3 linked regions of the Arabidopsis thaliana genome follow. The protein of the gene in region 3 interacts with the protein of the main gene of each other region in a pairwise test. Each region holds a gene or a part of one and is shown on either strand. Other genes may lie near its edges. The genes, in order: PEX6, PEX10 and APG8A.

What was found.
Region 1: the proteins of APG8A (region 3) and PEX6 interact in a protein complementation assay, tested with the Arabidopsis thaliana proteins (one study listed by BioGRID).
Region 2: the proteins of APG8A (region 3) and PEX10 interact in a protein complementation assay, tested with the Arabidopsis thaliana proteins (one study listed by BioGRID).

The regions. Positions count from the first base shown.
Region 1 is NC_003070.9:684,209-696,733, forward strand, and holds PEX6 (peroxin 6), read right to left. Parts: upstream 8,453-12,525; 5' UTR 8,246-8,452; coding exon 7,967-8,245; intron 7,871-7,966; coding exon 7,235-7,870; intron 7,157-7,234; coding exon 6,913-7,156; intron 6,691-6,912; coding exon 6,549-6,690; intron 6,372-6,548; coding exon 6,191-6,371; intron 5,966-6,190; coding exon 5,777-5,965; intron 5,606-5,776; coding exon 5,324-5,605; intron 5,202-5,323; coding exon 5,043-5,201; intron 4,951-5,042; coding exon 4,828-4,950; intron 4,743-4,827; coding exon 4,471-4,742; intron 4,395-4,470; coding exon 4,250-4,394; intron 4,157-4,249; coding exon 4,073-4,156; intron 3,939-4,072; coding exon 3,849-3,938; 3' UTR 3,587-3,848; downstream 1-3,586. Other genes in the region: AT1G02990 (uncharacterized protein), read right to left, coding at 1-569, 656-1,757, 1,848-2,216, 2,297-2,397, 2,471-2,543, 2,636-2,788; AT1G03010 (Phototropic-responsive NPH3 family protein), read left to right, coding at 9,272-9,363, 9,909-9,975, 10,072-11,268, 11,339-11,585, 11,679-11,980. UniProt on the Arabidopsis thaliana protein: Component of the PEX1-PEX6 AAA ATPase complex, a protein dislocase complex that mediates the ATP-dependent extraction of the PEX5 receptor from peroxisomal membranes, an essential step for PEX5 recycling.
Region 2 is NC_003071.7:11,216,939-11,227,953, forward strand, and holds PEX10 (peroxin 10), read right to left. Parts: upstream 3,570-11,015; 5' UTR 3,478-3,569; coding exon 3,297-3,477; intron 3,199-3,296; coding exon 3,167-3,198; exon of another isoform or gene 3,092-3,166; coding exon 3,002-3,091; intron 2,920-3,001; coding exon 2,825-2,919; intron 2,746-2,824; coding exon 2,556-2,745; intron 2,462-2,555; coding exon 2,392-2,461; intron 2,322-2,391; coding exon 2,243-2,321; intron 2,154-2,242; coding exon 2,020-2,153; intron 1,769-2,019; coding exon 1,674-1,768; coding exon of another isoform or gene 1,659-1,673; exon of another isoform or gene 1,593-1,658; coding exon of another isoform or gene 1,581-1,592; exon of another isoform or gene 1,255-1,580; coding exon 1,178-1,254; intron 932-1,177; coding exon 829-931; 3' UTR 501-828; downstream 1-500. Other genes in the region: AT2G26340 (uncharacterized protein), read left to right, coding at 8-53; AT2G26360 (Mitochondrial substrate carrier family protein), read right to left, coding at 4,665-4,988, 5,063-5,296, 5,383-5,461, 5,543-5,661, 5,745-5,850, 5,921-6,222; AT2G26370 (MD-2-related lipid recognition domain-containing protein), read left to right, coding at 7,698-7,797, 8,466-8,585, 8,672-8,847, 8,989-9,114; AT2G26380 (Leucine-rich repeat (LRR) family protein), read right to left, coding at 9,677-11,015. UniProt on the Arabidopsis thaliana protein: E3 ubiquitin-protein ligase component of a retrotranslocation channel required for peroxisome organization by mediating export of the PEX5 receptor from peroxisomes to the cytosol, thereby promoting PEX5 recycling.
Region 3 is NC_003075.7:11,653,848-11,663,058, reverse strand, and holds APG8A (Ubiquitin-like superfamily protein), read right to left. Parts: upstream 7,447-9,211; 5' UTR 7,192-7,446; coding exon 7,110-7,191; intron 6,827-7,109; coding exon 6,771-6,826; intron 6,693-6,770; coding exon 6,640-6,692; intron 6,561-6,639; coding exon 6,442-6,560; intron 6,354-6,441; coding exon 6,250-6,353; 3' UTR 6,025-6,249; downstream 1-6,024. Other genes in the region: AT4G22000 (tyrosine sulfotransferase-like protein), read left to right, coding at 2,857-3,249; APR3 (APS reductase 3), read left to right, coding at 4,086-4,164, 4,307-4,441, 4,528-4,663, 4,749-5,775; AT4G21970 (senescence regulator (Protein of unknown function, DUF584)), read right to left, coding at 8,953-9,211. UniProt on the Arabidopsis thaliana protein: Ubiquitin-like modifier involved in autophagosomes formation. May mediate the delivery of the autophagosomes to the vacuole via the microtubule cytoskeleton.

The sequences.
Region 1 (12,525 bases), on a different chromosome or scaffold from region 3:
ACCTGAGTCTAACACTCTCAAGGCCAAAGGGGCAACTGATTCAACTAGTGAACCTTTACTTTCGCGGACATTATTTTTGATAATTTCAGAGCCCAAATCCTTACACAAACTCGGAGAGGACAGTGTAGAAGGTAGATGAGAAGCACTATCTCTACCATTTTCTTGACTAACACTTCTTTCCTTATCACAGCTTTCACTACTAAAAGGCAACTCTTTTTCATCACAACTTGAACCTTTAAGCCTCTTTCTCTTTCTAACGTTCTCTCCACTTGATTCCATTACTGCAGCTTCTCTAAGTCTCATACAATCTCCACTTTCCTCATTTTCCTTCAGTTTCCTCTTTCTGTCATCACGTTCGCCATGCGAGGAAGCCTTAGCAAAATCCTTGACATTTTCGGCTAAGGCTTGAGTAATCATAGTTTTGTTAGTATCTAAAACTTCCAGAATTTGGTTGGATTTGTTGGATCCAGGTTGATCTACAGCGGAAAATCGTGATTTTCCAGTCTTTGGTTTCTTAGAAACCCCAGAAAGTTCCCTTTCAGATTCCATTCCCATATTCTCCATTCCTCCTACATGCGTATTCATCAAGCAGATCAGATAATTTGAACAGAAAGAAAATATTATAAGGAAAATCAATATCTTTCACAAATAATACCTTCAAGAGAATGCTTATTTTTCACTTCCCGTCTAACACTCTGCTTGGTGGTGTGCCTATCTTCATTCAAGTCACTCGGCTTAATAAGGTGTTTCAAATCAGGTTCACATACCAAATTTAGATGATCACAAGCCTCTTCATCATTTTTAACACTGTTGAAACTCTCGCCCAATGCATTTTCTTCTGAAAGCTTTTCTTTCTCAGCTTTAAGTACGGGACTAATTTGTTTTTCTTCTTTTGATTCTTTCGAATCACCAAAGAATCCCTTACACATGTGTTCGGATTCTTCAATATCTTCCTGCAATTTATCTGGTACATTCTTCTTAATTATATTTACAGCAGCGTCCTTGCCTCTCTGACTATTCATGGTAACAATGGAGCTTGAACCTTTTTGTGACCTCTGTACTTTAGGCAGTTTTGACTTTAAAATTTGCTCTTCATTCCTTGTCTCACTCTGAGTACCCTTAACCACAGAAGAATAATCTACATGTTCAATACTTGGAGCTTTCTCCCGCTTGGGATTACTTTCCAATGAGTTTAGAGGTTCACCTTTTATCAGGTACACGTCTTTTCTTACGTTAATACTTTCAGTTTCCTTAACACTTCGATCTGAAAATGCCACTACATTATCTTCTAGTTCCGGCTTTGAACCCATCAAAGCTGCATCTTTGTTCGTTCCTCTTAATATACTCTCCACATTAGAATCTGATACGTTATCAATCTCTTTTGCCGGGTGGATATATGAAGGTGATAGACAGGATAAAAGTGGAAGCTTCATAGTCTTGGAAACAAGCTCCTCACAGGACTCTTTGTCAGCCTCTTTTTCAGTATTGGATACGGTATGATTTCTGTCAAGCTTGTTTGACGGTGGCCTATACTTTACCCTATCCCTTAACTTTTCCTTCTTCCCAATAGGAAACTTACCAGCACGCTTTTGTGAATCAGAAACAACTAAACCATCGGGTGTACTTTTTGCATCCGTCTTGTTTGTAGAACCATATCCAGCATCTTTCAAAATCTTTTCTTTCGATCCCAACTGAATAAGATCATCAGAGAGAGGTGATAACAGCTGATCTTTATGCAAAGGGAATGACACCATAGCCTACACACACAAAGGTATATGTCAAACTCATATTCATCATTGTTCAATCTTTAAGGAGAAGGAAGAAACAGAAAAAGAAAACAAAATCACCATAAGAATTTTAGTGGGCGAATCACAAATCCCATTCAGTAAATCTTGTTCAACTTCTGAGAGGCAATTCACCCGCGATGCTGATGGTAGCATATTGAGGCCTTCTTTAGTAAAGGTAGAAACGTTTTTGAGTGACGAGAGGTCACTTGAACCAACTTTTATACGAAACCTGAGAGTCTTATGATTTGATGGAGCAGAAGAAGAAGTTTTTGCGTCAGACATGTGTTTGCTATCAGGTGTCCCTATATGACTTGATTTGACAAACTTGTTTAATTTGACCAAAACATCAGAAGCAGGAGGTTTTGAAGCGGATCCGGATATTGATAGTTGAGGTACTAGTGATGAAGCTGAGCAATTAGATCGACCACCCTATAAACAGAAAATGACATTCACTATAAAAGCTTAAATTCAAGCTCTAGTCGAAGTTTGAGTTGTTTAATGATCTTTACCAATTGGTTTTGTTGAACTTCTGGTGAAGTCTTAGGACGTGAACAAACAGGAGATCTCTGATACATAGACAAAAAGGAACCATAGCCACCAAACTTTGCACCTATAAACATTCATTGAATTCATAAATGAACATAAGAGAAAGCAACAAAGTTTAAATATACAAGAAAACTTACCCAAATTTTCAGCAGAAACTCCACCTTCAAAATCTTTCTGAAAATGTCCCAAGACGTTTTCGAGTTTCTCATCCTTAAGAAAAGGAAAAAAGAAAGGATTCTATCTAAGTAGTAGTTGTAGAAGAAGAAAAGGAAAACATAGTTAAGAGGTCAGAAGAAGCTTACAATGTAAGAGAGAGCAACATCTGGGTCAACGCAAGAAACATAAGAATGTGTACTTTCTTCCTCAAAGTCACAATCTTGCATGATTTCTTCACCTAATCCACCAAACCCTAACCCTAATTCGCTTCTAGCATCGCTACTACTCACCAAAATCATCTAAAACCCAAACCTATATATATCATATCAATCGAAGAAGCTAAAATCTTCCAAATTTCCTCAGAAAAAAACTTAGATCGATCGAGAGAATAAGCAAAACTCTTAAATACCCATTTACATAGAGAGACTTGAACAAAGCAGCCCGATAAAATCAATCAGCTGAATTCGTTGGATAATGCGATTCAGAATCCAGAAAGCGAATAACGCCCAGATTTGGGAGAGCTCACGTGAAGAGCTTTGAAGAGAGAAAGCTTTAAAAAAAAACTTGAAGATCGAAACGACAGAGGAGGTTCCTCACGTTGCAAATTCAAAATTCCGTTTTTTGATTCCTCATTCTCTGTTTTCTCGAACAAACGAAAAAGAGGAAAAAAAATTAACTCAACAAAAATAATTTCCTAAAAAAAAAAATTGATTTCGGACCAGCTCGCCCAAACAAAGCAAATCCCACGTGACAAGTGATGTCATAGTGGTCAAGTTCGTCATTTCAGTCTTCAAAGATTTGTCTTTTTTTTGCAAGTAAAATCTCCTTAATCATAAAAATTTTTACTGTAATTTAAAAAACTTTCGCCATATGGATTCTATGCTTCACGTAATTAATGGAATTTAGTCACGTGTGGAAAACAAAAACGCTATTTTTGGAATGCCAATTGAAATAATTGTTTGGAGAAAATATTCTGAAATTACTAACAACACCATAATCAAACAGATAATATAAAACACAAACCTAATATAACAAACTGATGATTTTATTTCCTACCCAAACCAAAAACAGAATTCTTTTATGAACCGTTGTGGAAATTTTTTTAAGAAAACCTTTTACCATTGAATAATCTGCTTCACTTGTGTGTTATATTATTACATGGAACTATGGAAGCGAAGAATCACTTGTGCGTAACCAATCAAAGGTAATTCAAACCAAGAAAATTATTTTACATTATTGATTCTTTAATTTTACTATCAATTGACTAACCAAATCAACAGAACTGTTCAGAGAAAATAGTCTGGGAAAAAAATATGAAATGTCTTCATTATAAGCTAATTTTTATGTACTGAGAGGGGTTTAGCTCGAACGGCCTTGAAATTGATCTCGAAGCATCTCATACTTCTTAAGCTCAGTTATGGAGAGTGATGGCGAGAGCTGATCCATTGCCTACAAAGAAGACAAAGTGGGAAACTATTATAACTCTCGACTGATAAAACCGAACCATAACAAATTAACATTTCTACTCAACCATGAAAATGGCAACTCTTTTTGATGAGTAGATGAAGGAAAAGAGTTTTAACCTTTATAAAATCCACATACTCTACAACGACTGAATCGGGATCATCTTCTTCTGTAGGCATATCCCCTGAATCCGATTTTGACACCTGCATTTGCCAAGTATGCAGATACAAAGCGATTTCAATAAAAGCTTTTACAGAGACTTATATAGTCTTAAATTTCAACCCTATCCCTCTCACCTTTCGCTTAGCTGCCTGAAACCAAGCATCAGCACACAAGGCGTACATATCAGCGCCGGTGAATGTAGAGGGACACTTCTTTGCTACTGAATAAAGAGATACATCTTCGCTTAACTTAAATTTCCGAGTCAGTGCTTTAAGTACCCTGTCAAAAACAAGAATCAGGAAGCTTCTAATTTTTTTTGTCTTTGGACATGCTTTTGATTGTTTAAATGCCTAACCTTTCCCTGTAAGACGCATCAGCGTTGACTCCAACATATAGAAGTTTGTCGAATCTGCCAGGCCGTAAAAGAGCTGGATCAATCAAGTCAGGTCTGTTGCTTGCTCCTATAATAAACAGATCCTGGGAAGAGTCGCTGAGTCCATCGATCTCTGCAAGCATCTGAGATACCACTCGATCCATGACTCCTCCAGAATCACCAGAAGCACCTCGAGCTGGAGCAAGAGAATCAAGCTCATCAAAGAAGATCACACAAGGTCGCGCTGACCTTGCCTGCAATTGAAGAAAACACACTAGTTTAAGAATCAGAACCAAAGACTCAATATGCTTCTCCTAGGGAAGAAGAAATATAACTTACCTTTTCAAATATATCTCGAACATTTTTCTCTGACTCTCCAATATACATGTTGATTAATTCTGGACCCTTTACACTGAGGAAATTTAAGGAGCACTCTGTCGCCACAGCTTTTGCCAGTAAAGTCTGTAAATTTAATTCAAAAACTCAAAAATATAACTGCCAAAAAACAGACTATTAAGAGATGCTAAAAGTGAAAGAAAAAATGGCTTACTTACTTTCCCTGTTCCTGGAGGGCCATAGAGAAGTACACCAGAACGTTTACGCAATCCGGACGAAAATAAATCTTTATGCAGGAGAGGTAGTTGAACTGTGTCCAATATCGATGTCTTCACATCCTCAAGCCCACCAACATCATCCCATTTCACATTTGGAACCTACGAATACAAATAAACCTTTAAGTTATGTGCATCTCCAGTAACAAAAAAATATGCAAACTTGTCTCATAAATAGACAAACAAACGAGAAAACACCACAGCAAGAAAACTGTGAATGTTACCTTAGGAGCACCAAGGGCTGATGCATTTCTCTTCTTTGATCGATCCAAAGCTTTGGTAAAGTCTTCCTTAGCTGTTAATTTCTCAGTGCTGTTATCTATTTGGCTTGCCTGGTGTATATCAACTCCATGAAGATCATCTGACAGAGAGTTAATTTTCTTGGTCTCGGACTCTTGACTGATGTATAAGTTGGCACCAGCATCAGCTACAAGAGCTTGCAAGTCCCGGGGAAGGAAGCCAGAAGTCTGTCCCACCAATCCTTTCATAAATTCATCTGAGCTAATCTACAATGTGAAAATATCTATCCATCAAGCCTGAAGTTGTTAACTTTAGTTTGAAAATGGAAGAATAAATGGATCTAGTATCTCTAAGATTTCAATGAGAGGTAATTTAATTTAGTTCAAATTATATCATAAAACAAATACTTGAAGTTTTGGAGCATTGTACTCACATACATTAAGGAATTGAGAAACGCCTTGGAGGGACTGAGACAGCATTTCAGATCTCTGTTCGTCATTCAAAGAACCCATACGTATTTCATGGCTAAAGCAACGCCTGATTGTTGGAGAGATACCCTCAGTACTTTCAGCAGATGCGATTAGCAGCACTTGATGTCCCCTAAACTTTCCAACTTCATTTTCAGACTGCATTAGCACATATACAGATAAAGCATCATGGAAAAGGGTTTCGAAGAGCAATATTTTCTCTTTTCTTTACTTTATAGAGTACGAGGTCTAAAACCATCATGAGTTGTTTGAGAGCTTAGCTAAAATGGATTATGCGACAACGATTTGGAAAACGGAAAAGTGAACTTAAGTGAAACTGTGCAACGCGCAATGGAGAACCAAGGAAAGAAATGAAAATCTTACGAAATTGCTATTCGATTTTTCTTCCATGGAACTGTCCCCATTAGAAACTGGCTCAGTGAGTTCCCTAATAACCGATGCAATCTCAAAGGACACACCAACTCGGTCACCCAGTGAACCATCCTGAGAGCCCAGATTTTTAAAAACATCGAAATGGCGAAGCAAAAGTATCGTTGGTGAATACCTGTGACAATGAAAACAAGGCATTCACCAAGTTGTGGATAAAAATACTATTCCAGAAAGAAGAGCTCAATATTTACAAAAATGTAAGTAATTTTGCACTTCATTAAAACACGGCCATTTACTGAATGCAGTTCATAATGAATACATGAAAGAAAAGAAAAAAAGTATACCATTTTACCTTCGTGCCATATTAAAAGTCTGGGCCAAAGCAGTAGATGTTTTCCTCTCAGATGATGCTAATAAACTGTGGCAGCTAAATTCAACTACATGCAGCCCCAACCTCCTAGCAACATATTTAACAACAGTTCTCTTCCCACACCCTTAAACAAGCAATAGATACAAAAAGCTATTAGCACGTGATTCAGTTATATGCATAGAGCATAAAGGTCGAATTATGACTTCTCCCAAATTACCATAATCTGTAAACACAGAAACATAGTCTCTTACTAGTCTTTCCTTAACATTGTTTCCAGAAATAGTTTAACCCTTAAGAACATATATGAAAGTGAAGTATTTTCTTGATGAAACCGAAGCAAATGTACCTGGTATACCATGCAGTAAAACAGCAACCCTGAGTTTTGAGGCGAGTGCTGATGGGCAGAGAGGTGGTGAAAGCACCGATGCCAAAATATTTACTGTCTCCTCCTGCAATGGCATAGGAACCTTTGATCTATACACCAGTAAATCTGGTGGAAGACCAGAAGATACAGTTCCTCCAAGGACAAGGGCGGTTTGGGAGTGATTCACTCGAAGAAACCTCTCATTAGAAGGTTCCATCGCAATAACCTGAGCAGATGAACTAAGTTTTCAGTAAGCTCTGGCCAAAATGAGCATTTTTCTGGCAAAAATGAAAACCAATATTACCTTAAAATATATATAGTCGTCGCTTTCGGAGCACAACCTTTGACTACATGGATTACAAATGCTTGAACCACAATTCCAGTCAATGTAAATGCGAAATATATCGCCTCTTGATAGCTGTCTATCAGTTCCAAAATACTTCTGTAATGCAGAATCTATTAACCCTTGTCGCTCTTCAGCTTCAAATGACGAATTGACTTTCAGGGATGGGATGGTACCACACTCTGGGATTTTAACAAAAGAAACTCTCAGATGTGATGCATAGCCTGGAACTTGGGACACGGGTTCCAAATCCAAACCAATCTTCGACCCATCTTCTGCAGATTTTCCGATAAACTCCTCATCACACTTAGCTTCAAAATACTTCTCTAAGACCCCGTTCCCTCGATGTACGAGGGATTTCAGGCAAGATATGTGCAAGCTAAGATTAAAAGCTAACATTGGGGACAAGTAAGCAACCTCTTGATCTAATAACTGCTGGCCCATCAAATCATAAGTGGGAAAGACAAGCATCGTATGAAGAGAGTCCGAAACAGGTACTTGAGTGAGAGATGCATCTTCCAGCGTCGTCTTGGGAGGATCAAGTACAACAACTTGCGCAACCCTTTGAATGCCTATCTCAATGTTCTTGACAACAACCTTGCATTTTAAAAACTCAATTGTTAACATCAAAAGCAACAAAATTATCCAGAAAAGATCCAGCTTTGTTGACTGAACAAGATGAGAAGGACATACCAAAGAACCAGAGTTGATAGATAGTCTCTTAAGCAATTGAGTGGAGAGTCCAACCAATGCAGAGTCATCTAAAGAATCCAATTTTGCATCGGAAACATTTTCTCCGTCCTTCCGCCACCGGAGAATGCCCGCAGACAACCTAGCGTTCCCTCGTAACAAGTCACCGTCTTTATTCAGAACTCGGTCGCCGTCGGCAGAGCTGGGTTGTGACGAATTGAGCACTGAACGGAGAGTACTTCTTGTGGATGATAGAACCAGAGGATTCCGTCTCTCCACCATTGCAACGGAATCAAATCGAATTCCCAATTACTCAAAACTCAAAAGAGTCAGAAAAAAAGTATAAAAACAAAAACCCTAATTTTCCATCAGAAGATTCAAGTTCCGTTGAAGAAAATTCACAGTACGCGAACCGATGAAGACTGAAGAGGATCAGATGGTACTGGCCCCACTTAAGGATTTTTTCGTATTTATATTATTATATTTTCTGATTATTGTTTTTTTGTACTATTTGTTCCTCCTAATCAAAGTTTTACTATAATCTGTTTAGTAAAATTAACCTGGAATCATAATTAGCATAAATATTTTAAAAAAACAAATTATAGGTTTCGAGGGGCTCGAGAATTTTCGATCAGCCTAACATCATTACATAAACAGCCTTAAAGCTAAAATATAAATCTCAATCGGTGTAATCACTACTGCTTTTCTATTTTTCTAACCAAAGCAAGTAAAGGCCCTAATTTTGTTTGGACCACTAACAAATATACATTTTCAAAAACTAAAAGCATGGAGTGATCTTAAAGCTTGGTCTCACCAAAATTATTCACTTGACACTTAATATATTCTTTATGTATCGTTATATTTAGAAAACTTTGCATTAGATATATATTCCATATAAATTTTAGTGGACAAAGCAGTATGTAGAAAAATTAAATGATTGATCATCTTAAACTTTTGTTAAATTGAAACGAAAATTGAAAAACAAGAGAGTAGACATAATGATGATAGAAGAAACCTCACTTATCCCATAATAATGGATGGAAATGCCTCAAAGGATACTAGCTAGCAACTTAATGTAGGTACATTGCATGTATTGTTTGTTATTCCTTAAGTTAATTTTATCTGTGATAATAATGATCTCAGCTTTACACGTACTTAGCAGATTAATTTTAACCAAATCTTTTTTCTCTACCTTTTTACATCCATTAACTACGTACATTCACTGCCATTACAACCGCAAGAGCTCTTCTTCTTCTTCTTCTTCTTCTTCTTCTTCTCCTTCTTCTTCTGCTACGAGAATAGAGAGAGATGGGACTTGTTACAGTCGGAGAATTGAAGCCAGCTTTCACAGGAAAGAGAGGGTTTCGTCTGAATTCAACCATCAGACATGCCTCTGAATGGTAATATATACTCTGTTTCAAAAACCAGTTTTGTAACTATTATCACCAAATGAAATCCAAATTTAGTAACAACGATTCTTGTTTTTTTTTTTGCATTCACATCTTTGTTTTTGATAAAACTGTCAGAAAAAGACTAAAAAATTTGTTCTTTCTGAAGAATTATAGCAATCTTGTATGTGATGTGAATCTGTAGCCAAAAGTCATTTCTTGTTAAAGTCTTACTGTTCATCGAAACCAATAATTTCTCCATCTTATTTTGTATATATGTGGAACATATCCGTACATTAACACTTCATCTGGTTCTAGTTCTGTCTTCATTTGAAAAAGCTTGATGTAGACATAATCTTTTACATGTCCCCTGTGAATCTTTAAATGTCTCTAAAACCAGGAATAAATAACACTATTTTTGGCGATAAATTCACTGTTTCGTTATCCTAGAATCTTAGCGTCGGAGTCATGGAATTCAAGTACACAAAAGATCTTTTGATTCATAATTCAGAAATCCTTTCGCTTAATCTTGATGGTTTTTTTATCTGTTTTCGCAGGCCGATATCCGATGTCTCTAGTGATCTGACAGTTCAAGTTGGATCTTCGAGTTTCTGTCTTCATAAGGTAAAAAGCAAATTTAAGAACATTAAAACAGAGTATCCTCTGTTCTTGAGTTGTATTGAAAGTTTTCAACTGTTACTTGTTGTTTTGATTTCTCAGTTTCCTCTTGTGTCTCGGAGTGGAAAAATCCGAAAGCTTCTCGCGGATCCAAAAATATCGAATGTTTGTCTCTCAAATGCTCCTGGAGGATCAGAGGCTTTTGAGCTCGCAGCTAAGTTCTGTTATGGAATCAACATTGAAATCAACCTTCTTAATATAGCTAAGCTCCGTTGTGCATCTCATTATCTAGAGATGACAGAGGATTTCTCAGAGGAGAATCTCGCTTCCAAAACAGAACATTTCTTGAAAGAGACAATCTTCCCCAGTATTTTGAATTCCATCATCGTTCTACATCATTGCGAAACCTTAATCCCAGTCTCTGAAGATCTCAACTTGGTTAATCGGTTAATCATAGCTGTTGCCAACAATGCCTGCAAAGAACAGCTAACATCGGGTCTTTTAAAGCTCGATTATTCGTTCTCGGGTACAAATATCGAACCACAAACTCCATTAGACTGGTGGGGGAAGTCACTAGCTGTTCTGAACCTCGATTTCTTTCAGAGGGTTATCTCTGCGGTTAAGTCTAAAGGGTTAATACAAGACGTGATCAGCAAGATTCTGATAAGCTACACGAATAAGTCTCTTCAAGGGCTCATTGTTCGCGATCCGAAACTGGAGAAAGAAAGGGTTCTTGATTCAGAAGGTAAGAAGAAACAGCGATTGATTGTGGAAACAATTGTGAGGTTACTTCCTACACAAGGAAGAAGAAGCTCTGTTCCAATGGCGTTTCTTTCAAGTCTTCTCAAAATGGTCATCGCAACATCGTCATCTGCTTCTACAGGATCATGTAGATCAGATCTAGAACGAAGAATCGGTCTGCAATTAGACCAAGCCATCCTCGAAGATGTCTTGATTCCGATAAATCTCAATGGAACAAACAACACCATGTACGACATCGATTCAATCTTGAGAATCTTCTCTATATTCTTGAACCTCGATGAAGACGACGAAGAAGAAGAACATCATCATCTTCAATTTAGAGATGAAACAGAGATGATCTACGATTTTGACAGCCCCGGGTCTCCAAAACAGAGCTCTATCTTGAAAGTATCGAAGCTAATGGATAACTATCTAGCTGAGATAGCTATGGATCCGAATCTCACAACCTCAAAGTTCATAGCTTTAGCAGAACTCTTACCAGATCATGCTCGTATCATCAGTGATGGACTCTATCGAGCCGTTGACATTTACCTCAAAGTAAGAAAAATCATCAATCTCATATTCTAGAAACTGTCAAAACTCATTAAAAGTTTTTATTTTTTGACAGGTTCATCCGAATATAAAGGATTCAGAGCGTTATCGTCTCTGTAAGACGATAGACTCACAAAAACTATCACAAGAAGCTTGTAGCCACGCAGCTCAAAACGAGAGATTACCTGTGCAAATGGCCGTACAAGTGTTGTACTTTGAGCAGATCAGACTCAGAAACGCAATGAGCAGTAGCATAGGTCCTACTCAGTTTCTATTCAACAGTAACTGTCATCAGTTTCCTCAACGGTCAGGAAGTGGAGCAGGTAAACTCAGCATTAAGCAAACCTATGTCAAACCTCTTCTAGTAACATCATCTGATGTTGTCTGAAACACTTTTTGTTTGTTTGGATCACAAGGAAGTGGAGCAATATCTCCTAGAGATAACTATGCGTCAGTGAGGAGAGAAAACAGAGAGCTAAAGCTTGAGGTTGCGAGGATGAGGATGAGATTAACTGATCTAGAGAAAGATCATATCTCGATTAAACAAGAACTCGTGAAATCTAATCCAGGGACTAAGCTTTTCAAGTCATTTGCTAAAAAGATAAGCAAACTCAATTCTCTTTTCAGTTTCAGTAGTCTTAAACCTTCCTTGAGTGGCAAGGCAAGTTCTGAAAGCCGTTTCTTGTTTCAGAGAAAAAGACGACACTCTGTTTCTTGATCTTTAAAGAAAGAATAGAATCTTCACCTTTTTTATTCACTTTGTGTAGTGAATGGGTTTTTATCGTTGGAGGGTTTGATTTGTGATTGAGTGTGCATGTATAGCTCTATACAGTCGTGTTTGTGAATGTGAGCGATGATGTGTTTTGTCGGTCTTTTGCTAAAGACTTGTATAAAAGTTGCATGTTCCATTTCTCTAGAACTTTGATACGACACGGTTTCAATTTGGCGTCCTACAACGACACCGTTTTGACCTCTTCTATTTTTTTCTTCGTTAATCATACGCACTAGATTTTAACCCGCGGTACACCGCGGAGACAATTCATTTTTTAAAATTAATATATATATAAAACTTTGTAAATTATATCTAATTATATAATATTTTTATTTTATAGTTTACAATTGTTACTAAGTAACGTCCTGCCAAACCCGTCCCGCTAAATCCGTCCACCAAAAAAACTATTTATTTTAATGTTGATCTTATTTATAATATGTTTATGAATCATTGTCAAAATATTTTAGTCGTTCCGGGACGTTGTATCCACA
Region 2 (11,015 bases), on a different chromosome or scaffold from region 3:
GATTAAGGTGTCGTTCGTTTGATCAGTTGACTGATGCATCTAGATGCAGATGATAACTGATGTTCGTTTGAACACAATATAACAGAATAGTTTGATACATCAGTTGGCTGAGTTTATAAAACTCATTCAAAAAAATTAAAATATTTAGCTGACTTTGATCGGTGCATCTAGATGCATCAGCTGCAGTCAAAAATGGTAAATCTCTAAAATACTCCTTTAAAATTTGAAGAATTACACTAAAATAAATATATGTCCTTTTTAGTCATTTGGTACATTATGCATTCAGATGCAGATGCACATTGTTAAAAAACAATTCAAACGAACACATCTGCATTCAAATGATTCATCCAGATGCACTATCAACTTCAGAAACGAACATCATCCAAATGATGCATCTGAATGGATCTTCTGGATGGATCACCCAGAGGCACTACCTAACTGATTAAACGAACAACACCTAACATTTTAAAATGGTATTGTGCCTAATATGAGATTTTCTTGTCTTGTAATAGATCTCCAATTGAGATTATTATATGTAATATAGAATGTGAAAGACCACCTAACATCTCCAACTCTTTTTAATGAAATGTAAAACAACAAACCTCTGTGGTTTCTGCACTAAATATCATAGAGAAAAAGGTAGGCATGGGATCGAGAATGATGTCAGAAATATATTTATTCTGTCTTCTCTCATAACTTGTTGATCTTACTCAAAAAGTCTGAAGCCGAAGCAGATTCCATTCCTGTAGCAGATGCACTGTCCTTAGGTGTCACTGTCTTAGCTGCTTTGCCTTTCTGCAGTGCCTGTCTTTGTTGATCCCATTGTGCCTAAAAATCAGAATGATACAAACAAACCAAACTTGAATGGGTATTGGGCGTTCGACAAAGAGGGCATTCTTGCTTCTCGTTGCACCATTCCATAATGCAGCTCCTGCACATGACAACATGACTTTCAAAATGAGCACAATGTTCCGGTGTCAACTTTTGGATCTTAGGTTTTGTAGTTCGAGTAAATGTTCGATACAAAGTTCATCTTATCAAAAGCAGTTTCAACCAATGGACATCAAGATATTGAAATTCTCTGGATTCTGAAACTTATCAAGGTTTGTAGGTGTTAACTCGTTCCAGATCAGGCCCAGGACAAAATAAGCAATTACGGTAGAGGAAGGTTTATTACCAACAAAACACATGACCACAAGGAGTGGCCGTTGGGTGCTGACGGGTGCTTAAGCAGAGAGTGCATTTCCCTACTGCCTGCAATCGAAGTACATAGCAAGGTAAACACCTAACATAACAAGTGGTAACATATTGATTTCATCAAAACGAGAGAAAAATAAACCCCTCTGGAGTTTTTTTAAATTTAGAATAGTCTCAAAATAGGATTAACATATAACCTTGTCTCGCTAGAAACTATATGTAGAGCGGGATCAGTCGAGTGGCCATCTACTCTTATCAGATACTCATACCAACAGAGTAAACTATCATTTTGGTTTTCTTAATCACACTTATACAACATAACCTTTGCGTAAGAGCATAATACATTTTGCTCAGAGTTATGTGCCTCTCTTCCAAGTATATTATTACCTATTGTCCTTTCCCAATAATGATCACTATTCAAGATATTAGCCATTACAAAGTAACAGAAGTTTCTAACTTATTTATAAATATTTTACCTCCGTTGAAGTTGAATCGGAGGTAGACCAGTTTCCCTTTTCAGCTTCCGAAGTTATCAAATTCCCCTCTTCATTTAAAACAGGTAAACCTCTCCCTGCAAGAACAATACCAAAACTATATTACTGTAATGTGAAATAGGGTGATGCATAACAAGCAGAATATTTCAGCCTATGTTATCTTCTCTCATGTATCTTTCTAACAAACTTTTACCATGATGCCAATTTAGACCATAGTTTATTGAAACTATAGTACTGACAATCTAACATATATATCCTCCACAAATATCCGTAATGTTGGGAAATTCTAGATTATTAACATTCATAATCAAGGACATGAGAGCCAGACCTCCTGAAGTTTGATAAGATCCTATAGAAGCCTGCTGAATGGAGCTAGTGATAGATGACAAATTACTCCGACGCAAGCCCTCAGCAGCAAGGATGCACAATTGGATTAGAAGGAAAACCCCAAGAATTTGGTATCTGCTCAACAAGACTTAAGGGAGTTCAGTTACTCTGTGATAGTAAAAGTCAAGAGTTGCAAGTGTAAAAGAAGACAAAAAAATCATTACCTAGGTCTCTGATTCAGTTGCTTTCCTATGAAAACATAACGAACCCCGGATGCACGTTTCGATATATGATAATAAAAACCTGAAAAGAAACAAAGGTTACTAGTTCAGAACATGCTCTACATGAGTTAAATATTTCTCACAAAATTCACCTTCAAAGTAGAAGAGCATCAGATTGGCACGCAAAACCAGTTGTAAGACTTCGCGGGCAACAGGAAGAACCTAAAAGGCACAAAACCTTGTATAAAACAACATTTGCTACGCAGAAAACAAGTGAACGAACCATGGAAAATTAAACGTGAGGGGTATACATTACCACAGGCCATCGCTGAATAGCTCGGTGCCACGATCTCATAAGTCTATCGTTTAACCTAGATACTACAGAAGTTGAAGTTTCAACTTGAGATGAAGATGGAAGATCTATCATTCTTGGTGAGTGGATATGACTATCACCAAAAAACTCATCAGACTCATCAAAGGTGACTGCTTGCGTAGCAGCTCGAGTGCTGTAGACAATTATATCAATATCAGCGGACAAGATTCAAATTTTTCTTTGTAAAACAACAATAAGAAATGCGACGAAACCTAATTCTCTCTGCGATATATGGAACTGCGGTCTGGTACAATATGAACAAAGCACGTCTAGCTGGTGTAGGAGAGAGTCCATAAGGCCCTGCAACCTATATTATATCATTCTACATCAGAAGGTAAAATGGTTTTGTAGAAGCACACTTAAGGAAGATTGTATAAAGTAACAAAAACCTGTATAATGTCACAATATTCCTCTCCTAAAGTTTGTTGCCCTGAACCTGTCGTAAGAACATAGTAAAGCATCTGTCCAAGTAGCTTCATCTATCCAAAAACAATAAAAACAAATAATCAAAAATCTCATGGAAACTCAGACAAATATAATTTAGTGTATATTACCTCCTTCTGGTAAGCAAGAGCGATTCTTGTACCTAAGAGTGATAAAAATTAGTTATTAATTGGACAATAACGATGAAGCAATTAAAGTAGACAGTTGTTGTTGTTTGGTTTGGTGTCGGAAAAATTGTACCGAAAAGGTGTCGGAAGGCATCGCGGCAAGCTTCGTGGATGAAAGAAGCGTATTGATCGTCTTTCTCAGCAGCTCTCATAATCTCCGGCTGAGCTGCTAACGGGAATCGTCTGATTCCGCCGTGAAACCCGCTCGAACCGGGTTCATCCTGACCCGGACCCGAATCCCCATTAAGCCTCATCGTTTCTTTTTTTTCGTGGATCGATGAACTTGCCGAATGATGTTTTTTATTCGGCCTTTGATATTTTTTTTTAATTCAAAGGAAAAATAAATATTTGCAAATGTATCGATGCCATTTATATATGAGATCAATAATATTTTATTAATTATAATCTTTTTAATTATTTTTATGATCAAATATTTGTCTATATTAAGCAGTATTTTGTAATAGTCAATCGATTCGGGTGAGCTGATTAGTTTTTTAGAATACATGATGTTAAGTAAATTATGTTAAAAATAAATCCGAGCAAAGTGTTTCCATAATTAAATTATTAAAGGAGATATTAACCTTGACGAAAACTTTCTCTCTTCTCTCTCAAAAACTTTTGAGAGAGAGAGTTTGTTTTTTTGGTAAAGTCCGATCGTGATCTCATATGCATGTTCTATCCTCGCCGTCCGGTTTATCCGGCTCCTGTCCAGCATCGACTAGCTTCTAAAGTAGTGTTGGCTGGCTTATGTCTGGCGATTTGCCGTCTTGTTTACGGTGTCTTCGGCCAGTTTTGGGTTTGTTAAGTTTTTTTGTTTCAATAATCTCATTAGATCTGAGTTGGTGATGATGTTTTAGGTGTTGTGTCACTTAAAGAATGGATTTCTCCGACTTGTTTCTTTTGAGCTTTTGGTTTGCAGAAATCTTTCCAGAGACATAAGGAAAGAAGAATCTTTCGAAGCATATTATGATTGCCTTAAAGCTGTTAGTTTCTTTTTGGAGTTTCGATTAGCTTAGCAACGGTGACAAACAAAGGATTCAACGACCGATTATATTTCGGCGATAATCTTCTCACCGAAATCGATGCTCAACGGCGAAGGTTGATGTCGGAAATCTTTCGATTACTCATCCAGCATGTGTCGTGGTTGTATCCAGTTGCTGACACGTGGGCTTAGGTGGAGTACAAACAAATTTTCTTATGCAGTATGCGGTTATCCGATAGGCTCTTGTTGGGCCTCAAATATTTCTGTAAACTTTTCGTGGGGCTTTTAGTGTAGCCCGTGTATGATCGGGTTACGTTTAATACAATACTACACTTGAGAAAAAAAAAAAGAAGTAAATTATGTTATTTTTGTAGAATATATTTTTTTTTCTCAAGATTTAGAATACATAAACATGAAATAAATTATTATAACACAAAATGTTGGTCTAGTTTTCCAATCTTACTCACTATGCACTGATTGATTCAGAGGTGTGATCATAGCCTTTTGAAGAAGTTCATAGCCAGCTAAGTTCAAGGCTCCGAGAGGAGCAGTCCAGAAAAACCTTGGAACAGCTCCTTTGTAGAAAGCAAGAGGACCCTCATGTGTGAGAATTGAATAAGCAGCCATCAACATCGACAATTCCACGCCTTGTGGAGCCGTCATCATTCTTGTTTTAATCACATCGAATGGCGTTGTTAAAACTGCAGTGAAACCACCGGACAAGGCTCCAACCGCGATGGCTTCCCACGGCTCCAACTCTCTTCCTAATTGTCTCTCCACCACCTGTGAAACTCAATCGCAACCACGTCTTATTAATTACACAAAGACATGTCATTGTTCTGTTCTATCATGATTACCTTCTTTGATTGGTTGTAAAGTCCCATGCCAGCAACGTAGAAGGGAACCTCACGTAGAAGGGTAACACCGGTCCCACGAAAGAGTCCTTTGAGCCCTTCTTGATGCCAAGTCGAAACTGTAGCTTCCACTATGTTATCAAACTGGTTGGCTTGTAACCGTTGTTTCAACACTTCACACGGTATTCGCAACGTTGTCCCCAATACCGTACCAATAAAAGACGCGATTGACTGAACCTAAAATAATCAAGAAGCAAAAAAATTCAAAGAACGAAACATTATGTAGCAATAAAGTTGGCAATGAGCTTTTTACAATTACTAACTTGAATATCAAGAAGAGTAGGAGCAACGAGCGGTAACGCAAGTTTACTTGCTTCATATATACTTGTTCGTAAACCATGACTGAAAAATGTTTAAACAAGAGATGAAATCATGATAATGCTTATAACCAATAACCACAAGGCAAAGCATAAGAGATGAAACCTAGCAAATTGACCAACAACAGCCGGAATCGAGCCTTTGTATAAACCTCGAGCACCAATCTCTGGAATCTTTGACAATATTTCGAGAAACGACAATGTAGTTGATGCTTGAACTTGTGTCTTAATGATCCAAGACAAATGTAAGTAATCAGAACAATCTCATAAACACAAAAGAAGAACCTGAAATGAAATTACCATTATACCTTGACAGTATCCACTGGATGCATCAAAAAAGCAGAGAAAGCACATGAGATTCCTCCAGCTAATGCAGATTTAAGAAGATGACCAACATCTAATCCAACTCTTGTCCTAACAAAACATGTAGTTTAGACACAAATGTTTTAAAGAAAAACAGTATCTACAAGGTTCTTGTCCTCACCCAGTATCAAAGTTCTTGCCTTTAGCAACAGCTTCATTGATCAATGGAGCAATTTCATTGGATCTTGAAGTAAAATTTCCAACTTTTGCAAAATTTAAGCTAACTATAAAGCTACACGCATCTGAATTCGATTTTCTACGGAAACAAGAGTCAAGCTTTTGAGAATTTAGAAACAACAAATCATTGAGAATAGAGAGAAGGAGAGATTCAGGTGATACATGTTTCCTCTTCGGAGCTTTATTCACCATTGTTGATTTCAGTGGATCTGTGGATAAACCTTGAAAACTAACTCTGTTCTTCATCCGTCATTAGAGGAAAACAGAAGAGTGATTTAAGTGAGATTAGTCAACGTTTGATCCAAATAGTGGTTTTGATTATCGAATTAAGCCATTTTTGTTAGTCTTTGTTTAAAGTATTAGTAATTTAGTATACAACAACAACGCATATGAGGTGTTCGACGAAATGACTGTGTTAAAACAAATTGAGATGTGGGACTGAAACAAAACTAGAGGTAACTATTTTAACCAAAGATGTCAAAATGAGTAACCTTACCCAAACCCACATGGATTTGAGATTTTAATAGACGAGTTTGACCCAACCCATGTATTTATATAAGTTGAATTTATATACTCAAATCCACAACCATAAAATTTATTGGTTTAATTGGTTATATTGATATCTAGATAAAAATAAAAGAAAAATTTATAAGTAATAAAAATCTAAAAAACATATTATAATAAAACCAAGAAAAAATTTCAGTAACAAATTAAAAAATATCTAGATATTAAAAAAAAAAAACATCTTAAAATCCTAAAGTCCTAAAACCACAAATCCAAAAAAACACAAAATCATATATATATATATCATAAAACATGTTATTCATGCCTACTATTTTTATAGTCTATTAGATTAAAATATTTTGCTTAATTAGTGGACCGAATCAAAGTAATATCCAGATATATTTATATGCTTCGTTAAAAGCGAGATTTTAGAATATGACTTTAGATGTCATTTGTATTTTTAACCAAAATATAAATAAAATGTCATTGGTATTGCCAACTATGACCAAATTCTTCAATTCACAGGCATGTGTGAGTTCATGTCGAAGAAATTAAAGATTCACCTATTTAACCGGTGGTGCATCTCAAAGTGGGGAAACAAAAACCTCTAATAATGAAAGTATTTGCCAGGTTGTGTTTAGCTTCGACCATGTGGTTCGGGTATGGTTTATTTTATTTTATTACTATTTCATCTTATCTCAAAAATAAGATTTGTATGCCATGTTGCGTTAACGTTGACCATTTAGTTCCCCAGTATATGGTTTAAGCGCAATGTATATCTATGCATACATTTTTGTTTTTTCGGTTTGTGATCGGTTTTAAATTTTGTATGATGCTAATAACAGTTGTGTTTTGGAAATCACGCCGAACCAACAGACATGGTCGCAGTCAAACAACTCCATCTTTGGGATTTTTTTTTATCTAAAAGAATTCACGTCCTTGTATATAAAAGGTGGTAATATTTGAAATATTGAGATTTCAGGCAACACTCATTTTTTTAAGATTCTCACGTATAAATTAGGATTATATCATATAGGAATAAGTATAACGTGGAAGATTATTATATAGGGATGAATCATCCACTAGTTAAGCAGAATATTATATTATATAGACTATATAAAATACTAGGCATGAATGAATTTAAGCATACGTATTACAGACTTGTTTGTCAAAACAAAACAGGCATTAATCTTTTTTATCTTTCGAAGATATAACCCATGGCGATATCTCACGCCCAACCTGTTCTGCTTCTCCTATCATCACTCTATTTCTTATCTGCTTTTGGCGCCGGCGCATACAATTTTGAAAACTGCAAAAGTAAGTATCGTTTTTGTTAAGTCTTATATTGTTATATAGAACATCAATTCTTGTTACTTGATAAGTCAATTCAATGAAAAGAATATGCCTGAATTTCATAGATTGTGGTTTGCTCCTATCTCTGTTTTTTGTTTTACCAAATAAATCTTGAACCGGAACTCACATTAGTCGTCAATTCCATAAAACAGAAATAGAGTATTTTGCTACTGTGAAAACGTTTATATAGAAAGAACAGATCAATGAAACTATGAAAGTACTCCCATCTATAAAATAACCCAATAATTGTGAAGTATTCACCGAAGACTTTTTTCTTTTTTTTTTCCTTCAGTGTGGTTTTCGAGAGCCGTGGTGTATAAGTCAAGAACTGAGTATTATAACTAAAATATTGCAGGTCCAGAGTTCCTCCAATATTCAAAGATAGATCAAACAATTTGAAATCTGATCGAAATTTAAAATAGATTTATCTTTTGTTAATCCTACAAATAAATAAATAAAGAAACACTTACCCCTATGACCCTATCATTTGACATACCAAATTTCCAAATAAAGAAATTTAGGATTTATTTTTGTAAGAAATTAGGATGTAGATCCAAGTTTTTTTTTTACCTGCCATGACTTACTGATAACTTCTACAATTGTTAACATGCTCTAAATCGGTGCGACTAAAGATGCACCTATTGACTACAATTACGGTATTACGAACGTCACACGTGTGGAGATCTCTCCATACCCTGTTGGGCCTTACGACGAGCCAACCATTACCATATCCGGCTTTACAAGTGATGATAGTACGTAATATTTTCTATTCTTTTAATTGTTTTCATTTATAGTTTCCAATATCTTATCTTGTAAGAAAATATATTTGTGTTTACAGGCTACATCATCTATAGAGCAACTATACATGTGTTGTATAAATATGAAAATGTGAATAGCACTATAATAAATTACGACCTCAGTGATGTGATGGGTGAGGATCCATGCTCTATTGAACCTGGCGAAAAATTTGTGTTAACTCTTTCCAAAGTTCCTGGTTTGCAGTCACTCCCTCATGTAAGTATTTTTTATTTTAATTTTTGGACAAACGGTTTCACTTTGATAAATGTATTTTAAAACCGAACAATCTAAAAACCACAATAGTATATTTACTTGGTTTGCCTGACGGTTTTTTTTTTCTTTCTTTAAACTAATTAGAAGGATAAGTCCAAGATTGTCATATCCCTTGTTGATGAATATGGTGATGACGCTGAAGTGCCACTGCTAAAAATGTGTGTTGAGTTCGATAACCCTGCTCCAACTACAACATCGGTCTCTGCTTGATTAAATCCAATTGGCTTATGGAAATATGTTTTCAATTCTTCATATGACACTCCCGTATTACTTGCATTTTTTTTTCCCTTTTCGTGTTGTTCAACAAATAAAAGAAATATTGAATTTATAGTTTTATACGACTCTCTCGTTAATTACTAGCATCCTTTTTATATTTCAGTAACTATATAGAAAAAAATTCTAACGCATTTGCTAAAAATAAGCTACAACAACAAATCTCTAGCTATGTTTTTATCGCAAATAAGCTACAACAACATAATAAGCTACATTTGCACATGAATAAACGATGCACGAATCTGTCTCACCTTGTTTTATACGTATAGAGCGCACTTGTTTTCTAGAAACTTTTCCATTATAATTGATTAGTTCAGAAAAAAATTAGAAGATTTGAAGGTGTTGTGTGGCGATATTCATATACCAAAATCAGTAACACAAAATCAGTAAATAAAGGAACTTAAAGAGAATACGAAAATTAAACAAAGACAAAAGAAGAATATGGAACTTGTGACACATGAAGTTCAAAAACAATATAACATGACGATGAATGAATCCATTAACCTTTACAATGACTTAGCGGGGAGCCGCATAGACAGTCGTTGCCGGCAAACACACTTTCTGGAAACTTTGTCACCGGAAGTTTCCCACAAAGATGGTTTTGACTCAAGTTAAGTGTCTTTAATCCGGCCACCCTCGCCGGCACTTTCCCGAACACTAAGTTCCTTGATAGATCAAGCGTCTCGAGCGTCGTCGAGAAACTTAGCTTCCTCAAATCGAATCGGAGTTTGTTCCCCGACATTCGAAACTCCCGTAGTTGCTCTGCTCCCTTCAAGAACCTCAGTGGACTCCCTGAGATCTCGTTGTCCGAAAGATCAATGGAAACGTAGAGATCAGTTTGCCTTGTTTTCCAATCGTCTAAGCTCATCTTGATTCCACATTTAGCCAACTTCAAAGAGCCGAGGATCGACGCTGAGGTCACCCATTCCGGGATTGTTTCCATGTGAAACTTGTTGTACGACAGATCTAGAGTCAAGATGTAATTCTTCACGTTCAAAACAGGGAATGGATTGGTTAGAAGATTGTGAGAGAGATTGATATTAGCAATTTTAGTCAGCTTGGCCAAACTCTTCGGCACGGCTCCAGAGAAACGGTTCTTGGAGAGATCCAGTGTGTCGAGCGCCACGAATCTTGATAAATAGCTCGGTATCGACCCCGAGAGATTGTTCTGACCTAGCTCAAGGAACGCAAGAACCGGCGCGAGCGATGCAATCGACGGAGGGAGCTTCCCGGAGAATCTGTTGCGTGAGAGAGTGAGGATTCGAAGGTTAGTCATTGATTTGAAAATATCCGGGATGGTTCCAGAGAGACGGTTTCCATCGAGATTAAGATTCGAAATGAGCTTGAGATTAGCAATCCCTAACGGTATTGTTCCGGTTAAGAGATTACCGCCAAGATTTAGGTAGTTTAACCGAGTTAAATTGGATATGGAACTCGGGATTGAACCGATGAACCGGTTTCCTTTAACGGTTAATGTATCTAAGCGGTTAAGCGCGCCGATGTTGGCTGGAAGAGGACCAGAGAGACGTGTATTCTCGAGGTAAACATACTTTAGATGTGGTAATCTGAATAAAAATGGTGGAAATGGTCCTGTGATGTTTTTGAGATTGATAAAGACGACCCCTTCCAAATGCTGGAGTTTGGCCAGTGACGGAGAGATTGTGCCAGAGAGAAAGATTCCGGCATCGTCGGACTCTATGCGGATAGTGAGTACGACGACACGGTTGCCGTTAGGGCAACTGACACCGTTCCAAGAGCAGCAATCAGTACCTTTTTTCCAAGTGCTTAGAATACCTGAAGGATCTTTGGTTATACCCGATTTAAAAGCTAATAGACCC
Region 3 (9,211 bases):
AAAGTCAACGTCATTTTTAAATCCTTTCACACTTTAGAATATTGTTTGGGAAATTTCGTTTACATGTACCAAATTTTTTTTCAAATATTCAAGTAAACATAATGATATTTTTATTTATCCTAACGAAATACATTTTTCTTATTAGCTCTAGCTATTAGATTGAGCAAGCTAGTATTTAGTTATTTACCGATTCGGTGTAACACCTTGGATTGCAAACTATGTCATAATAGTTGGTTATATACAATAGCAAAACAAATATTAAATTTATCATAAGATTCTCTGTCTTTTTACTCTTTTTAGATCTCACTCATCAAAAAGTTTACAATTAATTTTATTTAAAGATGTTTGGGCCTTCTTTGGGTCAAGAGTACATCGACCATTGCTCCGTATTGTCCGCAAGTGAAGGTGTTTTGAAACGCGGCGTGTGAGCTGTCAGGAGGTAAGAATCACATGCTTCTGTTAAATCTTGAATTGAATAGTTGGACCGCCGGATTAAATATTGAGCTGAAGTCAATGCTATTGGACGGTGGAGATCACAGATCGGAGTTATGAAGGTGAGGGTGTACCGTGGAAATGAAGCGGATGATACGAGTTTCTGCGTTTTCACGTGCTTGAGTACCATTCTGCACCATTAGCAAAGATTGAAGAAAAAGACAAACAAGAAAAAGTCTGTTATTTGAAGTGTGATATTATATATCATAATGGAAATAACCAAAACTCATGTATGTGTGAATGTATAATGTGTCATGTTTTGTAATCATAGGTACATTCGACAAAAGCAAGTCTGGTTATGTCATCAATGAGTTCCGATAATTTCGGTAGAAGGAAGTCAGTCCTTTGAAAAGTTTGTGATTTATGGGTTTTAAGCTTAATTAGTTGTAATGGTGATTATTGGTTTTTTCTTTAAGAATATGACACCAACCGAAACATTTTGTTAAAAAATAATTATAATAATACTAACAATTTTTGAAATTATTTTAGTTTCTTTTTTTCACAACTCATGAATGAACATTTATCCAACATTTTGGACTAACTAGGAATATTATTGTATATTCGTTACGTGTAGGAAAGTTCCTCATTCCTCAATGAATATTAATAATATACATATTGCCATGCACCGCTTTAGTTATTACGACGGAATCGACGGGATCTTCGTTACTAAATGCAATTTTAGATCTCAATCAATGCTATCTACTTACGTGTTTCTTTTCCAACATCATCATTCTAACATGATTTGATGAATCCGTCATATGACACCAAAAACACATGTAATGATCATCAACTGCTTAATTTCTAAGGATGTTAGCGTTTGTTTGGGTGAGTTGGCAACTTTTCCTATGGATAAATCGTGATTTGTCGGAATAAAAAAGTGGCAAAACATGTAAAAGTTATTCTAGAATTTGCTATTTGGGGGGCTTAGCACTTAGCAATGTAGTAGTAATGTATAAGAATGAACGAAACATTCTTTGGAATGGGCCAATTGATTACCTAATATATAAGGCCACAATTCACAAAGAGGCCATGAAGGCCAGTAATACTCTTTTTTTGTCTCTCTCCACCTATTCCTAATAATGTATCCTTTGGTTCTGTAGTAGCCCAAATGCAATACAAACTTACTTATGGATGAAATAAGTTATCAGATTTACAGTGATTTACTGTATTAGTGATCTATTAAAAATTAACCATTTATCGTGACCCGTCTAGAAAAAAGAAAGTTGGTTATTTTTCAATTTCGTTTAAGATAATACTTTAGACTATGCAATCACAATACTATATACACAATGGACGGTCCTATTTGTAATTAAGCTTATTAATTTATATATATTTACATTTTTTCAAAAACTCAAATATGTAATTTAATGATTTTACGCTATATCTAGCATAGTATATATAAGTTATTTCAGTAAAAGTTTAAGGCGTGGTAAATACATTGCATTTGTATATTAAAAAATCAAAATCAAAATTAAGCAAAAAAAATTTTGAAGATGGAATTGTATAAATTAAATATAAATACTACACTAGTTTAGAATTGTATAGTGAGAATGTGAGAGTAACCTGTACTATTTATACTTTTTTTGTCTTCTGAATTTTATTTGGAAATATACATGATTTTTAAAATATTTATACTAAGTAATTACAAATAATTTGGGTGAGAAAACAAAAAAGAAATAGGAAAAGGGTTTACTAACGCCAAAAAACCCAACCCTTGTCTGCGTTCTTCATCAGCGCCGCGTTCTCAAAGTTGCTCTCACAGTCTCCGATCTCCAATTTTATGTAAGTTCTTTCTCTCATTCCGATTCCAAGTTTCGTATCGATCTCTAAGTAGATTCGTATTAAGCTATAAGAGATTGATGAACCTAGTTGCTCCCGTACTCGAGAGGCTTAGATTTGGAATCGAAATCGATTGTGATGATGTTTAGTTAACGAAACCCAGTCACTAAATCCTTGCGTTGAGCTTATCAAACCCTAATTTTAGAGGATTTAGATCCATTTGCATCACATTTCTGCGTAGTAAATCAAGAATTAGTCTCCAAAGACTCTTCTTTTAACAACATTTCAACCAATCTGCGTTTGATTTGTAAGAAATGTTGTGTCAAGTTCACTCTCACTATGATCTCTCTTTGGATTCAAAGTTTGTATCTTTTTGCTTCTATGCATCACCAAATCTCTCTTTGGATTCAAAGTTTGTATCTTTTTGCTTCTATGCATCACTATCATATAATACCTTCCTTCAATTGATCTCCTCTGCTTTTAGCTAGCAAGTTTATAGGTTTCTTAACTTATTGTGAGCTAATTGGATTACAATGAGATATTATCATCTTTAAAGAATTGTGGTTTTGGGCATATGCAGAAGTTATGGCTGGAAAAGCTGCAGAAGCTGTGGCAAAGACAGTGACAGGGTTTCAACATCCATGGAGGGCGAAACTCGATAAGTACAGAACCGAGTTGACGAAAGGTGTGTGGGGTTATTGGGAGATGGGAGCATGGAAACCGTTAGGGATAAGTGCACGAAGGAGGGCTATGCTGAGGAAAGAAGTGTTGACTAATGGAGAAGATTGGCCTTATGATCCAGAGAGGAAAGCTATGAGGACAAAGAGGAAAGGGCATAAATGTGATAGAATTTCAGCTGAGAAAAGAGAGAACACTGCGAAGCTTATGTTGAAGATGCCTCAGATGTTGCTTGATTATAAGAAGAGAAGGTGGGAAAAGAAGATGAAGGAAGAAGAGAAAGCTAAAGAAGACAAGTAATTGATTTGTTGAGATCATGATTACTATAGACTTGGTTGATGAATAAGAATAATTTAGTTTGTTGATCTTATGAAATCTTGGAAGGTTTAAGATCACAAGTTTGCTTCTGATATACTTTTGTATGATGTTTTTTTATGTTTGTTTTTAACAGAACCCAAAAGTGTTTGTGGTTAGGATCGGAATTTGTTTTTCAACCAAGACTAATTTTGACTGTAAAATATGGTTTATGAAATATCGGTTCGTGCAATTTCTAGAAGAAATGAAGAGATCGATAGGTTTTGTAGATAAATTGATAAGTTAAACTAAATGATAGAATCGTAACAAACGAAAAATAATCTCAGTGAAAGAAAATCTCAACTGTTTTTATTTAGTTAATTCTATAAATATGATCGTTTTTTCGGATTTTTAAGGAAAGAATACACGAGAAAGTATTTATCTAAAATTAATAATCAAACATATCACCATGTTTATATTTTACAAATTAGATTAATTTATTATTAGATTATTTTTGTTAGCTCTAAAATAAAATTAAGCGTGTAAAATGTTTTTGAGATAAGTGTATGTTACATTAATAGAAAAAAAAAGAATTCTTGGACCAAAGTTGACTAGTTTTCTCTGCCACACGACCAAAGTGACGCAAGCAATGATATATAGAAAAGCAAATGCCGCCACCTAAAAAAAGACGTCTAGGTTCAATGAACCTAAATTTCAGCTGCTTCTTTTATAATCCCATTTCTCTCAACAAATCTTAAGAGAACACAAAATTAGAAAAAACACAACACAAAAATAAAAAAAACTTAAGAACATTGTTTCGAGAGATTTGGTTTGGAGTGAAAATGGCACTAGCAATCAACGTTTCTTCATCTTCTTCTTCTGCGATCTCAAGCTCTAGCTTCCCTTCTTCAGATCTCAAAGGTAATTTATTTCATTTTCAATACCAAATTCGTGGAGAATCTTAGAAATGCCTTGATTGGTCATTGTGTTTTGGTTTTAAATTCGTTCAAATTCGATCAATGTCGAATCTTATTCAATTTGTTTGTTTGATTCTTCAATACAGTAACAAAAATCGGATCATTGAGGTTATTGAATCGTACCAATGTCTCTGCGGCTTCTCTGAGTTTGTCCGGGAAGAGATCCTCCGTGAAAGCTCTTAATGTGCAATCAATTACAAAGGAATCCATTGTTGCTTCTGGTAAGTTCTGGTTTGATTTTTCAATTGATCATTGGTTAATTTGATTAAGGTTTATGCTAATGATCTTGTGCTTCATTACAAAACAGAGGTTACAGAGAAGCTAGATGTGGTGGAAGTTGAAGACTTTGAGGAACTAGCAAAGAGATTAGAGAATGCTTCTCCTCTTGAGATCATGGATAAAGCTCTTGAGAAGTTTGGGAATGACATTGCTATTGCCTTTAGGTAATGAATTGAATCATGAGAATACAATAAAGGAATGTTTTTGTTTTCCTTTAGTTTGCTGATTTGTTGTTTTGTTTGGTTTCAGTGGAGCTGAAGATGTTGCTCTGATTGAGTATGCTCATTTAACTGGAAGACCTTATAGGGTATTCAGTTTGGATACAGGGAGATTGAATCCAGAAACATATAGACTCTTCGATACCGTGGAGAAACATTACGGTATTCGGATTGAGTATATGTTTCCTGATGCTGTTGAGGTTCAAGCTTTAGTTAGGAACAAGGGTTTGTTCTCTTTCTATGAAGATGGTCACCAGGAGTGTTGCCGTATTAGAAAGGTGAGACCTTTGAGGCGTGCGTTGAAGGGTTTACGTGCTTGGATCACTGGTCAGAGGAAAGATCAATCACCCGGGACAAGATCGGAGATTCCTGTTGTTCAGGTTGATCCAGTGTTTGAAGGATTAGATGGTGGAGTTGGTAGTTTGGTGAAGTGGAATCCGGTTGCTAATGTTGAAGGGAATGATGTTTGGAATTTCTTGAGGACGATGGATGTTCCTGTCAACACGCTTCACGCTGCGGGTTATGTTTCAATCGGATGTGAGCCATGCACGAGAGCGGTTTTGCCGGGTCAGCATGAGAGAGAAGGGAGATGGTGGTGGGAAGATGCTAAGGCTAAAGAGTGTGGCCTTCACAAAGGGAATATCAAGGAGAATACCAATGGAAACGCAACCGCTAATGTCAACGGGACAGCCTCAGTCGCGGATATCTTCAATAGCGAGAATGTTGTGAACTTGAGCAGGCAAGGGATTGAGAATTTGATGAAGTTAGAGAACCGGAAAGAGGCTTGGATCGTTGTGCTTTATGCACCGTGGTGCCCGTTTTGTCAGGCAATGGAAGCTTCATTCGATGAATTGGCGGATAAGCTGGGAGGAAGTGGTGTGAAGGTTGCTAAGTTTAGAGCTGATGGTGACCAGAAGGACTTTGCCAAAAAGGAGTTGCAGCTTGGAAGCTTTCCAACAATACTTGTGTTCCCAAAGAACTCTTCAAGACCAATCAAGTATCCATCAGAGAAGAGAGATGTTGATTCTTTGACATCTTTCTTGAATCTTGTTCGGTAAATCCGCAATAAAATCCGCCGACTCTACGATGACGAAGAGATCAATAATAGACCATCCAGTCTCGTTCCAGATTGCTAGAACAGATGAAGAAGGTGAAGATGAGAATCTCTATTTGGAGCTTTAGCCTTTTGTATAGCTGTGGTTAAAAATAATTACGCCAAGGTTTTGCCTTTTGTGAGTTTATTTTTACCAATTTTCAGTGTATTACTCCTTTTTTGCCTTTGTGATGGATATGAACAAGTTTGATATGAAAGTGACTCATTACTCATTAGCCCCAAAATCAATGTTATTTAAGTAAAAGCAAAAGAGGAAAGTAAGAAAAGGAGAAGTTTCTGACGATTAATAAACCCAAAGGGAAAGATATCCAAACATCCAAAGCAAAGTTAAAAGCCAGAGAAAAGAAGGAAGCAATGTACATCTTTATCTTCCTGATTTATGTATGTACATCAAAGTCATCCAAAGATCGATTTTTATTCAAGCAACGGTAAGAGATCCAAAAGTGTTCTCTCCACTGTAAGTCATGTAGAGGAACCCATCCTCATCTTTGTGTTCTTCATAGATCGCAGACATCAATGCAGCTGTTAAGAAACAAAAGTGAAACCAAAGTTAGTGGTAAAGAAAGAAACTTTGATCCTGAATGGTGTTAAAGAGTTTAAGAACTCTTACCAGTTGGAGGCAATGTGTTCTTAACAAAGACAAAAATAGCTTTCTCAGCTCCAAGCTTGATTCTTTTACGAACCACGTATACAAATTGTCCCACTGTTAGATCAGCTGGTACAAGATACCTAAAAGAAAGTGGAAGAAACATAAGTTATCAAGATTATGATATAGAAAAAGAGTAAATAAAGCAAACCCATTACTCACTTCTTCTTGTCAATGTCAGGAACATCACTTTGTCCAGCCTTCTCCACAATCACCTACATACAATCCAAGATTCTAAATTAGACTAAATTTAGTGAAAAGAAGTTAATCAACTCATGAATTTGTAAGCTTACGGGAATTCTGTCAGGGTACTTCTCTCTGATTCGAGAAGATTCACTCATCCTTGCCTCTGATTAACAAAACATAACCACAAGATTAATGACAAGTACATCATTAAACAGAGATATCTATAAAATCTCACAGCTTGGCTTAGAAACAAAAACAGAGAAACGAACAACAAAGGAAGAATCAAAAGCGTATGCAGAGATTAAATCTGATCCCAAAACCAATCAAAATTGAGTTCCAAAATCAAAACCATACACGATCTAAAGCAAGTTTTAACAGAATTCAGAAACTCAACAAAAAATCAAGTAATTGAAAATTCGATGAGAAAGGGATTTGAAGAAACAAACCGAGAGGGTTAGAGATCTTGAAGGAACTCTTAGCCATTGCGATTCGATTAGTCTCTGCGAATTTCAAGCAAGCAAAGATCATAATTAATAAACTCGATCGTCTGCTAGATCGGGGGAGAAACAAACCCAGAAAACCCTAAAAGATCTCGAATTTATTGGTGAGAAGAAACATACCCGAAGAAGAAACTGAATCCGATTTGTTGGAAATTAGGGTTCGTTGAGAAGAAATTGAGTTTGATTGAAACTGGAGAAGAAGAATCGAGAGAGAGAAGTCAATGTCAAGAGAAAGGGATTATAAAAGAAATTAATAATGGAATTTAGTTAGGGTTTTCCTAATGGTTGCCTACACGGAACTGTTTCTGGAATAAGTAAACCACTTGGAATTCGTTTATTATTATTTGTTGATTGGATTACAAGAAATCTCTTACACTTGTCTTACGTCACCACCATCTGTTTATTTCTTCACACATTTTTGTGTCGTTTTGGGCTAATTGGGCCTTTATATAGGCTTTGGTTAGCAAAAGTTTACAAAGTAACAAAAAAATTTTTTTTTTTTTTTTGTCATCAGGTGTTATTTATGACTCAAACGAGCCAATTTTGAAGAAAATTATTTACAAAAATGATATGTAGCGGTTCCGCACGAATTTTTCGTGCCAAATAATCCGCTTTGACAAAGTAACAAATTTGTTGTCGTTGTATTTTTATATAAAATTGAATTGCATTTTTGTGGCACCTCTGTACAAGATTTTTTTTTAGTTGAAACTGTAATTTTACTACAATTTTTTATTTCGAAAAAGTAAATTGTAAAAAGAAAGAATGATTATCATGAACCGTTGCTAGGGCCAAGGAAAGATGAGTAAATTTCGTTTATAGTGTGATTGGTACTATTTATATATTGAGTAGATCCAAACAAAATAAAAAATCCAACCGAACTTGACATTTTTTTTGTTTGTCGGCAATTCAAATTTAGTACGGGTGAGATAGTACCGACGTGAATAAAACTGAAAATTATCGAAACAAGTATTTTTATTTATACAACTTCATTCTTGAAAATATATCTTACCATAGTAAATTAACTAATATATTTATTATGTATATCTTGAAATGGATATTTAGCAACGAAACGAATTAATCCAAATTCAAATACAACTTTTTCAGTTGCAGATTGGTTCAAGAATACACGAAGTAAAAAATTAAATCAACACACCGAAATAGATAACAGATACATATACCCCATTCCCCTAGTAACACCATGTCTAGTTGCTATATAACATTGAAAAGTGAAAGGTAGTGAGCAATATGGAACGAGCCCCTTAACCTTGTGTCGGACCAAAAATGTTAACATTATTCGCTACATTTTTCTCTCTTGGTCGAGGCCAAAATGGTGAAGAGATCGAGAGTGCTTTCAAATTTCTCACATTCAAAGGTTCCAAAGTATATGCCATTTTGTTTTGCTAAACTATAATTTAAGCTCACTAAGCACTGCTAAAGAGTTAAAAGACCATTGAGAACTACAAACATAACATGAGAAAAATGGTATGGGCCCATGCATGGGATTGACAAGTCATCCTCATCGTCATCATACTTATCTAAAAAAATCCAAAAACCTAACAACAACAACAACAACAACAACAAAAAAAAAAAAAGAGAACTCAACCATATTGGTAGTGTCATGATTCCCTACATGGTGATAACGACAATAACATTGATATTTAATAAAAATCATGTGGATACCATAAGGTTTTAGGTTTTTTTTTCATGATAATGATATGGTATGGTGCTAAAAAGGGTTTTGTGTGAATGTGATATTGATCATCCAGCCATGCTCCATGCCATGCCAAAACTATGGTGGTGATGTTGTTGATGAAGATGTGATATTCGATTCCAAGAAACCAGTTCTTGTTAAGACAGCGTTTCTTGTTTTGCTGAGATCTCTTCCTTTGAGCGTTCTTCCGATTCCTTCGCACATAGAGAATGATGAGATCTGCGTTCTTGCAAGTCTTTTTGCTACTAACTCATGTGGAGGAACCATTGAGCCTTCATCATCATCGTCAATGGCCCATGAATGCAAGTGGCTGCTTGTGTTCTTCTTTGAATACCCA